2 linked regions of the Rhinolophus ferrumequinum genome follow. The protein of the gene in region 1 interacts with the protein of each later gene in a pairwise test. Links are inferred from orthologs where the notes say so. Each region holds a gene or a part of one and is shown in the gene's direction. Other genes may lie near its edges. The genes, in order: DNAJB11 and UBR1.

What was found.
Region 2: the proteins of DNAJB11 (region 1) and UBR1 interact in a two-hybrid assay, tested with the Homo sapiens proteins (2 studies listed by BioGRID and IntAct). The link is inferred for Rhinolophus ferrumequinum from reciprocal best matches to the Homo sapiens genes DNAJB11 and UBR1.

Annotation. Positions count from the first base shown.
Region 1 is NC_046285.1:59,037,891-59,044,596, reverse strand, and holds the start of DNAJB11 (dnaJ homolog subfamily B member 11), read left to right. Parts: upstream 1-2,900; 5' UTR 2,901-3,097; coding exon 3,098-3,165; intron 3,166-5,765; coding exon 5,766-5,922; intron 5,923-6,706. UniProt on the Homo sapiens protein: As a co-chaperone for HSPA5 it is required for proper folding, trafficking or degradation of proteins.
Region 2 is NC_046289.1:62,618,795-62,625,500, forward strand, and holds the start of UBR1 (E3 ubiquitin-protein ligase UBR1), read left to right. Parts: upstream 1-2,047; 5' UTR 2,048-2,386; coding exon 2,387-2,467; intron 2,468-6,706. UniProt on the Homo sapiens protein: E3 ubiquitin-protein ligase which is a component of the N-end rule pathway. Recognizes and binds proteins bearing specific N-terminal residues that are destabilizing according to the N-end rule, leading to their ubiquitination and subsequent degradation.

The DNA of each region.
Region 1 (6,706 bases):
CCGAGCCTGAAGTGTGACCCGCCCATCCTTCTCTCCCTGCCGCCGGCCCGCGTGCGTTACCTGCGAAGGCGGGCGGTGCCACCGCACCTTTCCACGCGCCGCGGCGCCCTGCGCCCTGCTGCAGTGGCCCGCCCTTTGACCGCCGCCGCCGCATCCACCGCGCAAGCGCGATGCCTTGCACCACCGAGAACCGGAGGACTACGCTGCTAGAGTGGCCGATCGCTTCTCCACCGGTCTGAGAAAAATTTGGCGAAGGCCAAGAGCCCTGGAGACTGGGATCCGGAGCCAACCCCCGCTTTCTGGGATCACACCTTTCAACTCAGGAGAGTAGGAAGTCTTTTAGTGTTCCACAGAACTGTGGTTAGGCAGTAGCTGCTGGAAAGGTCAGCACACTTGGATCAGTAATAATAATGATAATTTACATTTTAGAGTGCTTATTCTGGATGGGGCATTGTGTAAACTACTTTTATGTGTATTATCTCAGTCTTCCCAAGAGTCCTTAATATTAAGTACATTTGTTTTATTGATGGGGAAACTAGGGTGTAGAGGTGACAGTATCACACCCCTAAGGTCACACAGCAAGACACTAGCCAAGATACAAGCCCAGGCCTTCTGATGCAGGGAAATTCCAGGCTTAGCTTAACTCTGTTAGTTTTCCCAACATGTAACCACTTTCTCGAAGTTTTTTTAGATTCCACCCAGCAGCAGACATCACTCCTTCCTCTAAACCTTCATTTCATGATTTTTAGCCATTTCCTGCTTTCTTAGTTCGTTTATGGTTTCTCTAGGTGTGGCCGATACAAAGGTAAATAAGACCATAAAATGCAATTTAGTTCCTCGTTTACATAGCCTCTCTCCCCTAGTAGGCATCTCCTGAAAGCAGTAACTTTGTCTTTCTCTTAACTCTGCATGAATCAAGAGGTAAAGAGCAGGGGCCTTGGATTAAAAAAGATCTAGGTTAGAATCCAGGCTGCACCACTAAGTGGCTCAGACATTGATCAAATTCTCTCTGTGTCTATGTTTTCTGCAACAGCAATTATTTATTGAGCACCACTCTGTCTGGCACAGTGCTAGGCACTAGGATTACACTAGTGAACAAAACAGGTCATTGTTTTCTTGGAATGTATATTTTAATAGGGAGAATGGATAATACATATTAAGAAAATAAAATAGGATAATATCAGATAGTGATTATTGGGGGGGATGAAGTCAGTGCTGAATTTGAAGAATAAGAAGAATAAGAAGACATAATACGAAGATCACAGTCGAAGCAATTTTTACTCCATGGCAGGCACTGTTCTAAGGTACTATTCTATACAGCTGAGAACAGAACAATCTAGATTCATGCTCTCACGAAACTGGCATTCCCAGTGTATGTGAGTACGGGATGCGGGGATGGAAACTAATATAAAACAAGATGGTGTAAGAACAAGGGATTCAGCAGGAGCTAATTTTGATTGATCAGGGAAGTCTTCTTAGAGGTGATATTTAAGCTGATATCTGTGTTTAAAAAGGAGTCACCCTTGTTAGGAGCTGAGGGAAGAATGTTTCTGGCAGAAAGAACAGCTAGAACAAAGGCCCTAGGCAGTAATGAACTTGGTGTATTAAAAAAAGAGAAAGGAAACCAATTTTGCTGGAACATGGTAAGGTGTATACTAGGTGAAAGTAGAGCTCATATAAGGTTTAAAAAATTTTTTCCCCAGCTTTTTTGAGACATATAAAGTTTTATGAGCTAGCATAAAGGGCTGGGATTTTATTCTAAGTGCAATAGAAAGCCATTCAAGGCTTTTAAGCAGGGGAATCACATAATTTGATATGTTTGTAAAAAAAATCATGGCAGCGGGGCAGGAGTGAACAAGAGATATTAATAGAGGAGGCTGGGAGGCCAGTTAGGAGGTACTTGTCAGGTGAGCAGTGATGTGACTTAGCCCAGAGAGATAGTGGAGATGTAGAGTAGTGGACAGATTCAGGTTATAGTTTAAAGATAAAGACTTGGATAGGGGATGCGGCAAAGGAATCAAGGAACACACCCAGAGTTTTGTCGTGAACAACTAGGTGGTGCGTTTACTGAGACAAGCAAAAGTAGGTGGAGGGAATCAGAATTCTCCTGTAAACAGTCTAGTACAGCGTCTGGCACATAAAGCAGGCGATGATCGCCTGCTTTATGTGCCAGACGCTGTACTAGACTATTTACAGATTTTCTCCTATTAAAATTTCACAACACTGCCAGTAAAATAGCTCAAATTTGTAAATAAAGAAGCTTAGGTTCAGGCTTGTGGGTAAGGGGCGGAGGCTGTTCTCACCTTTAAGAAGTGGTGGAAGCTGAATCCGCACCTCGGTCTGTCTCCACGGTCTCTTCTCTGTGAAACCGAGACAATTTTCTCCTTGGAGGTCAGGAGAAGGTATAGTAATAAGATCTCCTAAGCATTGCCTCCGGGGTACTGTCGGCGTGGAGTAATTGTCCCCGCCCATTTTGCCTACACGCCTCCAGCGTGTAGTTCCATATGAATGAAATTCCAAGACTAGTAACCAGGCTCAAACTTTCCTCCCGCAATTGGTCAGTGCTGAAGGAGGAGCCTCCCGATTGGTGGAGAGTCCGAGGGCGGGTGGGGGAACTTCTTGGATCTTGGTGCCCTCTTTTGGCACCAATTCCCCTACCGCCCTTTTACGTAGTTTTCTACGACTCGCGGGAGCCGGGGCTGAGCGGATTCCTGCAGCGGCGCGATTCTCTGACGTTGTCTCTTCTAACTGGCCGGGAGTTGCGGCTGTAGTTCTGAAGCCTAACTGGCTGCCAGCGCCGCCTCGGAGGTGAAGTGTACTGCGCTGATTGGTTGCGAGGCGCCGGCCGCGTGTGATGTCCGGAGCAGCGATTGGCTCTCACTTGCCGAGGGCTTCTCTCTCACGGGGACTGGGGACTCCCGGGAAGCTGACTGGCAGAGGGGGGGGGCAAGCTAGCTGTCGTTCCGGACCGAGTAGGAGACCCCTGCGTGAGGCGGCCTCTCAGGGCTGGGTGGGCTGGGGAGCCGACGCGGCGGCGGCGGACGCTGTGAGGAGTGTTTGGGGCAAGGGCCGGCACAGAGGCTGGCACAGCGAAACCATGGCCCCACAAAACCTGAGTACCTTCTGCCTGTTGCTGCTGTACTTCATCGGGGCCGTGATCGCCGGGTGAGGAGCGGGCACCCGCGAGGCACAGAGCCCGCGAGTCAGCCTTGGCTGGGACGAGGCTGGAGGGATGAAGAGGGGGCATTGCTGTGGTGAGGCGGTGGGGCCGAAGAATGCGTAGTGTGGACCAGGCTAGTGGGGTGGGGAGAGCGATGGGTGACACGAGGGAGAGGGGCTTAGACCCACAGAGCCTATAGAGCTAGATTTGTGCGGAGGAGTGGGAGTTGGATGCAGCGCCTACCACAAGGAGCGGGGCGGGGGGCGCCGAGCGGGGCTGCTGAGCTGGGAAACAGGACTATATTATGTTGAGCCTGCAAAGAGCCATTGGGGAGCTGACATTAAAGTGGGTGGGTTAGTGCCATGCTGAGTAAGGAAGTAAGGAGAACAGATGTGGAAGCCATGCTGGGACTGAAGGAAATTAAATTGAGGGAGTAAGGCAGACCTTTGTACTTCCCGGCTTCTTGATATATTGAGTCTGAGCTGTCATCATGCCTCACTGTCTCTTTCCGTGGTACAGTTTTGAGAAGCTGAATGGTATGAGAGGGAAGAGCATTTCACCAACAGGTACTAGACTGAGATTCTAGCCCATCTACCTCCCCCACTTAGGAATTATGTGACCTTGAAGGAACCACCTAAATTCACAGCGGTGACACGAAGATAGTAATGTGCCTCCTCTACAAAGGGAGTAGGACCACCTGCACTCTGGAGAATCCTTCCAGCCTTTTAAGATCCTTGATCCTATAAGCGTGGTGACCACAGGATATGATATGCCAGGAGAATATTCGTAGAATGTGAGGAAGAGTAAGGTCTTAACTTCTAACAATTAACAGGTTGCTCTAAATGGAGAAAGTACTACCTAGCACAGCTATAAAATTTAAGCACTTGTTATTCTCGTCAAAGCTTTTTCCCTTTGTATATATGCTTAAACTATTGTTATTCTTTTTTTCTTTTGAAATATCTTAAATTTCTTTTTAAATTAACTCTCATAGGTAATGCCTTATTATCGTTTTTCTTAGTATGTTTTTGTTAGTAGTATTTACACTTAAAGCAGTAAGTACCCTACGGTGTTTAAACAAAATGTCCATATAAATATAGTTAATACTGTAGCCTTAATCTTCAAGTCTTCCATAAAGGAATCTCTTGGGAATTGTAATGGTGATGCTGAGCTATGCCAGCTACTATCTTTCCCCTGTATTTTTTGAGCTGTTACCTCACCATTTTTGTATTATGCATATCCTAATTAAGCCTTATTCTTTATAGAGTTACCTCTTTTGTCATTAATTGTAGTGAACCTTTCAATTTATGTAGTTCTTGTCTCAAGAGATACCAAGTTTTTGCAGATTTTATTTGGGGGGGGGATAAAGCACTTAATTAATCCTCATGGAACCCTTTGTGCATGATTTTAAAAACTTAAATGATTTTCCTAAAGTGTGACTAAAAGATTATGAAATAATTTTTGAAATGTTCTGTCTTATATCATGTCTATCTTGGTACCCCAGTGCATTCCCCCCACTACATTATAAAATTACCATCACTACTCCATTAGTGTGTCCATTGTGAACAACTTTCCCATTTCCTTTACTGACAGAATGCATTTTCAGAATAACTTCTCGTGGCTAAAGTGACTCTGGCAAAAAGGAATAGATTTTTGAGAGCGTGCTTATTTATTCATTTTATTCAATGAATATTTATTGGTGTTTTCTGTGGGCTGGACACAGTCCCTGCCCTGAAAGTTTATAGTCATATTCTATCTTCCCATTGGCCCTTCTTACAAAGATTTCCTTTATAATTAATTTGGTTCCAACATAATCCCTTGCAAGGAAGTCTGTGGATGTCTATACCTTATCTCCCAGCTCATGCCAAATGCATATTTGCGGCTGCTGAGCCTTGTAAGCTCCTGCATATGGTCTTCAGCAGCTGTCTATAATTAAGACTTGACTTAGACAAAGTAGTATAACTACTAGCAATGACTGCAGGATTGATGTTTTCTGTCTCTTTCAGCAAAGACCCACAACTCATACATCCAAATGGGTGTTATTCTCTCTTCAGAGTTCTTTGGCTTAACCCCTATGTTAACCTCTGAAGTTAATTTCAGTCACTTCATCTTTAACATTCCACCAGTGTACTGTTAGTCAGAACATTTATGTGATGTAATCTTTTTGAATAAAGAAAATCATCCTTTGAGGTTGTTATTTGACCTTCAGAAACAGTCAAAAGTCATTTGAAGTCAGTAATGGGGAAAAGAGTTAATTTGCTTATACAATTCTTGGTTGAAAATAACGTGTGAACAGAAAATAAGAAAATGGTTTTCTTGACTGAAGGTAATTCTAAGAAAAGAATGACATAGATGTTTTGAATAATACTAGCATTGCTCAAAAAGTACATAGCCTCTCTCTGTGATTATTTCAATATATAAAACTTACTACAAATTCTGGTGTGTTCTCTTTTCAGTCATTCTTTTTTGTGTGTTACTGTCTCATGTATACCTTCATTCTCTTGCCTCTTTGCTCAGACACAAGCCTAAATATAAAGGAAAAAATTCACTTAAAAGTATTATATATAATTCTTTAATGAAGTATCCTCTCTTTTTCCCTCCTCCCCAGTCGAGATTTCTATAAGATCTTGGGGGTGCCTCGCAGTGCCTCTATAAAGGATATTAAAAAGGCCTACAGGAAACTAGCCCTACAGCTTCATCCTGACCGGAACCCTGATGATCCACGAGCTCAGGAGAAATTCCAGGATCTGGGTGCTGCTTATGAGGTGAGTGAGAAAAGTATAAAGTAGGAATAAAATCTAGAGGTAGAGAAAAGACCATATAACACGGGAAACATTCTCTTCCTTCAGGTCACTTCTTTTTAAAAATAGACAATAGATAAAAGTAATATGTGAGGCTACAGTGTGAATTAATGTTAGTAGATGCCATTTGCTGCCTTTTTCATATTATTTGTTTTATTAAGGAGAGTAATGTTGAAAAAAGGTGAATGAAAGAAAGATTGATAGGTTAGTTAAGTAAATTTATTATCAATCAACCAGTTTGGGAGCTGGAGCCAGAAACAGGAACAAAATCTAAATGAGGACTACAAATCCATATGCCCATATGGACCAGGCAAATAACATACAGGGCAGGAATAAGATAAAATATGACAATGGATATTTTACCTTCCATATTGGGAATCGCTAGAGATTGATGAGAACTGTGACAAACTGAAGACTTCTTGCCCCATTTTAAGGAAGCAGCTGTTATTCAGCCCTGACCAGTTTTTGCCACATACAAATGCAAATACTGTGTTGCCAGATCATTTAATGTTTCAAGAGAAGTGGAAATCTAGATTTTTATGTAAATTCTCCTGATTGTAAAATTTTGGTAACTAATTCAATTTAAAATTTTCTTTTTTTATGCAGATCAAACAAAACACAGCTGTAGTTTGAATTTACAGCCTCTAATCTAGAGATCAAAACACTTTCATGTGTATCATCTCATTTACTTTTCACCAGGACACCATGAAATATAGTAGAGCTGGACATATTCTTCTTCCCATTTTCT
Region 2 (6,706 bases), on another chromosome or scaffold:
ATTTAAGAAAATCCCTGCCATATACCAAAGTCTGAATAACCCTAGGGTGTCTGTCAGTTGTTCTTTTAAGTAAAAATGGTATTCCGTGAAAAAAGTGGCTGGTTCAGCTAGCGACTCGGTCACAGAAGTGCTTCTCCTCAAATCAACCATCATACTTTGGTGCTAAGTCACCCACCATGACTTCTGCACCAATAAGTACAAATACCAACATAGTTAAAAAAAAAAAAAAGGCACATAACTACTCTGTATTACTATAGTTTTTATCTCACAGACTTCCTGAGTCTAGGGAACTCACAGGGGGTCTGTGGACCACACTTTGAGAGTCACTGTTCTGCAACATTTTTAACTGCTGCAGAGTATTACATTGTATGGGTGGCCACAGTTTGTTTAGCCAGTGTCCTTTATTGTTGGACATTTGAGTTGTTTATAATTTTTCTCTATTACCAATACTAATATAGTTAAAACTTCACTTGCATCCTGAATTATTTTTCTAGGATAGTCCTAAAAACGAAATTGCTGGGCCAAAGAGTATGCTTTTTTTTTTTTTTTTAAAGATTTTTTTTATTGGGGAAGGGGTACAGGACTTTATTGGGGAACAGTGTGTACTTCCAGGACTTTTTTCCAAGTCAAGTTGTTGTCCTTTCAGTCTTAGGTGCAGGGGTCGCAGCCCACCATCCCTTGTAGGAGTCAAACCGGCAACCTTGTGGTTGAGAGGATGCGCTCCAACCAATTGAGCCATCTGGGAGGCAGCTCAGCTCAAGGTGCCCTGTTCAATTTTAGTTGCAGGGGGCGGAGCCCACCATCCCTTGTGGGACTCAAGGAGTTGAACTGGCAACCTTGTGGTTGAGAGCCCACTGGCCCATGTGGGAATCGAACCAGCAGCCTTCGGAGTTAGGAGCATGGAGCTCTAACCAACTGAGCCACCGGGCCGGCCCAAGAGTACGCATTTTTAAAAAAACAGCTTCTGAATATTGCCACATTGCCTTCCCGCAGATTTACCAATGTACACTTGCATTTTACATAACAATAAGTATCCTTCCAGCTTACCAATGACAGTTATCTTTAGAAAAACTTACCAAATTTACAGGCAATAAATGGTATCCCATTTTTAATTTGCATTTCTCTGCTAGTTAAAAACTAGTTAAGTTTTTTTCATGTATTTATAAAAATTGGTGAGTTGCATATTTATGTATTTTGCCCATTTTTCTTTTTTTTTTTTTTTGGATTTTAACCTTTAGTATGTCATGTAAGTTGAAAACATTTCTTCCCGTTTTTAATTTTATCTTTATGTAGTTTTTCTTTTACGATATGTAAGTTTTTAATTTTAATGAAATATACATGTCATTTTATATTTTCTGCCTTCTGTGTCATGCTCTAAAAAGCTTTCTCCATCCCAGTATTACACTATTTACTTCTTTACTTTAGTAGTTAACTGTTAAATGCATTAAAATTATTTTGATACATGATTTGAAGATCTTAATCTATTCCTAAATAGCTAACTATTTATCATTTCTAAAGTGTCAGAAGCTTTATTTTTCCCTTTGTTAAAAATGCATTTCTAAATGTTTTGTAAACAATTTAAAACAATGCAGATGAAGCTCAAGTAGCTCTTGACACCTTATTTCTCTCCTGATCCTCAGAGCTTACTATTAGTTTGTTGTCTTCCCTTTCAGACTGTTTCTTTCCCTTTTAAATGTACTAAGCATGAATATATAGTTTGTAGCAACTTGATTGTTGTGTTTTCCCCTCACTTAATTTATCTTTATCTTTCCATATGGTGTTCCATAATGTGGATTACCATGTTTATTTTGTCTTCCTTCTGCCAATGAATGACTAAATTTCCAAATTCTCGTTATTTCTTCACTATCACTCCTAAAAGAGCTGTGGCCCGACTTTTATTGCGCGCACGTGCAAGTGCTCATTTCTAAAGATGTTAACAGCTTTGAGTGCTTTTTCATTTGTGGGCTCAAGGGAACCATTATTGCAGGTACGTTGAGACAAAACGCACCCAGACCCACGACCCGGCCAGAAGGAGATCCAGGACGGGTTGTCACTTAGACCCTGACAGTTTTCTTCCTTCCATCATGGACGCTGAATTTGTTTTTTCACCTCGTACAAGCAACAGTTCGCTGAACCGAAACCACACACACAATCAGACCGCCACCAAGCACTACAACCAAGAAATTAGGGAAGGAACACGCTCTGGCCCTATGGGCCGTGACGCTTCCTTCCGGGAAACGGACCGGAAGTCGCTGTTGGAGTCTGCGTGCAACTCGACTTGAGGGGCCGTCGTAAAAGTGTCGTCCCTCGTCTCTTGGACCGGCCACAGGTTTCCGCTCGCCTCCGGCCGGGGGGTCTGCAACTGCGGGCGTCAGTTTCCCTCAAGATGGCGGACGAGGAGGCTGGGGATACGGAGAGGATGGAAGTCAGCCCGGAGTTGCCCCGGACCCCCCAGCGCCTGGCATCTGTAAGTCCTTGTGGGCAAGTCCCTTTTGCACCCCCCAGCCCCTCCCTACCGCGCTCAGAAGGATGCGGGGCTTCCCCACTTATGGCGGCTTTGGGGAGGGGGAGTCGTATGGATTGATCTTGAAGGAATCCACCAAATAAAGTTGGTCATCAGCCACATTCCTGCCGGCCAAGTCTACGGAACATAACGACTGTGTCATCTATAAGTGGTTACAAGCTCAAGCGTGTCTCTATCCTGAAGTAGAAAGAAGTGGTGATGTTATTAGATGGTTTGTCTGGTGTGGGGGCTGAGGCGGGGTTGGAGGAAGAGCCATTTTCCCACAGACGCTGCACTGACCCCCTCTGGACGACAGGCACCCAGGACGCAGCACCCAGGGTTGGGTTGCATAGCTAATTGGGTGGGGCCTGATAGTGTCAGGGTGTGCGGCCACTGTCACCTCATGTCAAGATGTGGGGTGTGGGAATTACAGCCCTTCATTCTAGTATCTTGAGAACACCAGGCCTCATCTTCAACGGGGAAACCCGCCATCTGTCGCTGCCCTTTAAAGGTGAAGAAGAGACTTCTAGACATTTCAAGTCAGAGCAATACCATTCATTAATGTCGGAATCTATATGTTGCCCTTGTATTTTGAAATAATGGGAAGGCAGAGATCAGGAACCAACGTGAGTCAATAGTCTGGCTCCAGGAGAAAGCTGACTGAGGAGGAGAAGAGGTAGGGGGTAACATTCAACAGGTAACGTTCTGGATGATTCCCAGCATCCGGTGGGGAGAGATATAGGAAATATTCAAATATTGATCGCTACCTGATGTTGAGTTTTATCAGTTTGTCTTTATTCTTGCATATAGAAAAGTGTAGAAGGATATACACCTCTTTCTGAAGTTTCTTTGACTTGTAGTTTTAATAAAAGCATTCTTGAAGTATTTTAACCCTGTAGACACTAGAGCATTGTTTTATGAAAGAACAGGGTGAGCTCCAGAAATAAGAGTTCCCCCAGGGAGTAGTGAGACTGGCTCTGGAGATAGAAACCAGGTAGGGAGGCAGTTGGAATAAGGGTATGGCCGCCAGCTTGCAGGCATCCTCTACCCCAAATGGCAATTCAACATCACTTCACTATTTGAGATGATAAGAAATGAGGAGATAGGGGAAGTTTAGAAGCAGCTGAAACATCTGGTCTAAATGGTGGAGCTTGTGCTTTTTACATCTTTGAAGGAGTGGAGAAAACTGCGCTGTGGGTAAAGTGTTATTGTAATTTTCTATTGCCAAAGATGACTTTGTTTATTTAAAGCTTTGATATATTCATTCCTTCCAGGTGGTACAGTAAAAACTTATCAATCTGGACTTCACTTATTTGGGATTGGAGATAATGGTAGAGTAATCAAGCCAGCATCATGTTGTAAACTCTTTACTTCAGGAAATACTAGATTTCATCGGGCAAGGCTTCGGGTTTTGCAAAGTAGTAGGTAGATGCCAAGAGAAGTGTAATAGCCTCAGGGAACTCAGAGTCCAGAGACACAGATAAGACAAGTGCTCAAATAATTTTAATTCAAGATAGGGTGATGTAAGTAAATGAAAACTTGTGACTGTTAAGCCTCATGATCACTTTTTGGCTTGGATTTCTCTATCTACTTGAGGACCCCAGATATCATCCTACTTGTGTTTTCTTTTTAAAGCTACCAACTTCAGTTTTATCCTGGCAGTGGAGTAAGATACTGGCTTTCCATTTTACTTCTTTGCTGTTAAGCAAAACAAGCCCGGCGATTCTTCAGCATTTGAATGATTTGTATTCTAAATCACCATTGGGAGGCAGGGAAAACAAAATAAATATGGGACAGTTACAGAGGTTTAAGAAATCTTACTAACTCCATTAAAGTCTTCTCCCTGGGGTTATAGTTTCTGCTATCCTTAAATCAAACTTCCTTCTTAATCCCCAGGTCATTTTTCTGTTATATTGCTACCAATAACTATGAAGTCTCTCAAATTCCTAACATCACCTAACATGCAATTAGAATGAAATAATAGGTATGACTTATTGAGCATTTATAAAAGCCATTGTTTAAAAATGATTAGGGGAAAAATTCTGTTGGTCTGGAGAGGGGTCCAAGAATTTGCATTTTCACAAGCATCCTCTGCTAATTCTGAAGTCCTGGTCTGTGGGCCACACTTTGAATAAGATTTAGCTAGACATTTGGAAGTTCTCAGTATAGAGTTGAAAGATAAGGTTGATCTTTGAGGAGGACAGTGTGTGTGTCTGTGTGTATACACAAATACACAGAAAGAAAGAGAGAGAGAGAAAGAGAGAAAGGCACACGTGGAAAGAGGGAGGGAAAGGGAAACAAGAGGAGGGACAGGAATGATTGAATTTCAGGGTCAGACGATGTAGAAAGAACCAGGGAAGGACCTAGAAAGGGAGTCGCCAAGCAGGTAAGAGGTGAGAGTAGTGCAGTATCATGGGGTATAGTTCCTAGGAAAGGGTGGAAGATGAGGACTGAGAAAAATTGGGAATTCATAGAGTATATGGGCGGGGAGGGAGGGGGTCTGACAGAACTTCTGCCTTCTGTCTTTGACTGGATTTTCTTTTTTAAGTCCAAAAAATTCCTTCTGACATGGTACTAAGCTCTTTTTCCTGTCTATACCCTCTGCTTATGTGATTTCATTCAGTCCTGTGGCTTTAAATACCACCTGTATGCATTCAGTTCCCAAAGTTATATTTCTAGGTCATCTCACTTCTGAGCTCCAGAATCACAGATCCAACTGCCTACTTGACATACCCACTTGGGTGTCTGATAAGTGTTTCAAACAGGGGAACAATTAGGAAGCTATCCCAGTAACTCAAGCCATAGTTGATGGTATCTTGTCATGGAGAACTCACTGGAGATGAAAAGAAGAGGATGGGTTTGAGAGAGATTTTAGAAGTATGATAGAAGCAAAGCAAAAAGATTTGCCTATGGATTAGGCATGAGGGGAAAAGGAAGAAACAGATGACATCTGGATCCCCAGTTTTTGGCTTAAGCATTCATGGCTGTGGTTGTGTCATATACTGAGAGGAAGGACCTGGTTTGGGGAGTGGGCAAGCAGGAGGTAGAGCAAGAGTTTTGTTATCCCTGTCTCAGTAGATGACACTTCCATTTAATAGCTCTTCAACACAAACAACTCTGTCTCACTCCACCTTTCTAGTCTAGCCATCATCTGTTGCCTAGGCAACTGCAGTGGCCTCTTAACTGGTCTCTTTGCTTCCATTTTTGCCTTCTTCCAGTCCACTCTCCTCATAGCAACCAGCGTCATCTTTTTAAGACTAAATTACATCATGTCAATTTCCTGCCTAAATTTTTCAGTGGTTTCCCATTGTACTTGGAATAAAATCTAAACACATTACAGGTCATTCAAGACCCTCCCTGATTTGGCCTCTACATCTCCCCTCACTCCTTTCCCCTTATCAGTTATTTTCCCCTCATCAGTTTTAGCCACCATGGCCTATTAATTTGTAAAACAAGCCCACACTCTATCTTGCTTTAGGACCTGTGTCTTTGCTTGCTCGTTTTGTGTGTGTGTGTGTGTGTGTGTGTGTGTGTTTTCCCTAGTGTGTTATTCTTCTGCTTTTTCTTGATACTTATCTGAAAGATGGGTTCCTCTTATTCTTTGTCAGAGCACCCTGTTGATTTCTTCCATTGCACTTATTATAATCTGGAATTACTGTATTATCTTTATTTACTTATTTAAATGTCTGCCTCTCCTCCCAAAATGTAAGTTCCATGAAGGCAAGGATCAGGTCTGACTGATCAGTGACATAGCCTGGTATGTGCTTGATGTAGCAGACATTTACGTACTCTTAATGAGTATCTAAGGATCAACATCAATGATTTATTTTAGCAAGATTGGTAGTGATTAGGGAAGGAGGTTGAGGATGAAGGTAAAGACGGAGGAGGGAATGAGGGGGCATATTAGGGTAATGGTTAAACAGGGAGATAAGATAAGCCAAGGGAATTGGTGGGATTTGAGGTATTAAAAGTGGAGGGACTGAATGTTATGGTCAGAAAGGGGAATTTTGGAGTTTTAGAACATGGAGGCATGCACATCAGGTGTTTGTGCTGGTAGATCCAGGTTAGACGTGCCTCTATCTATTCCTATAGTACCCTTTTCATACTCTTGTTATATGTAGCATGTCTCAGGCTGCAGTCAGTATTGCCTGTTTACTGTCTATCTTTCCTTCTAGACAATAAACTCCTTGGTGGTATGAACTC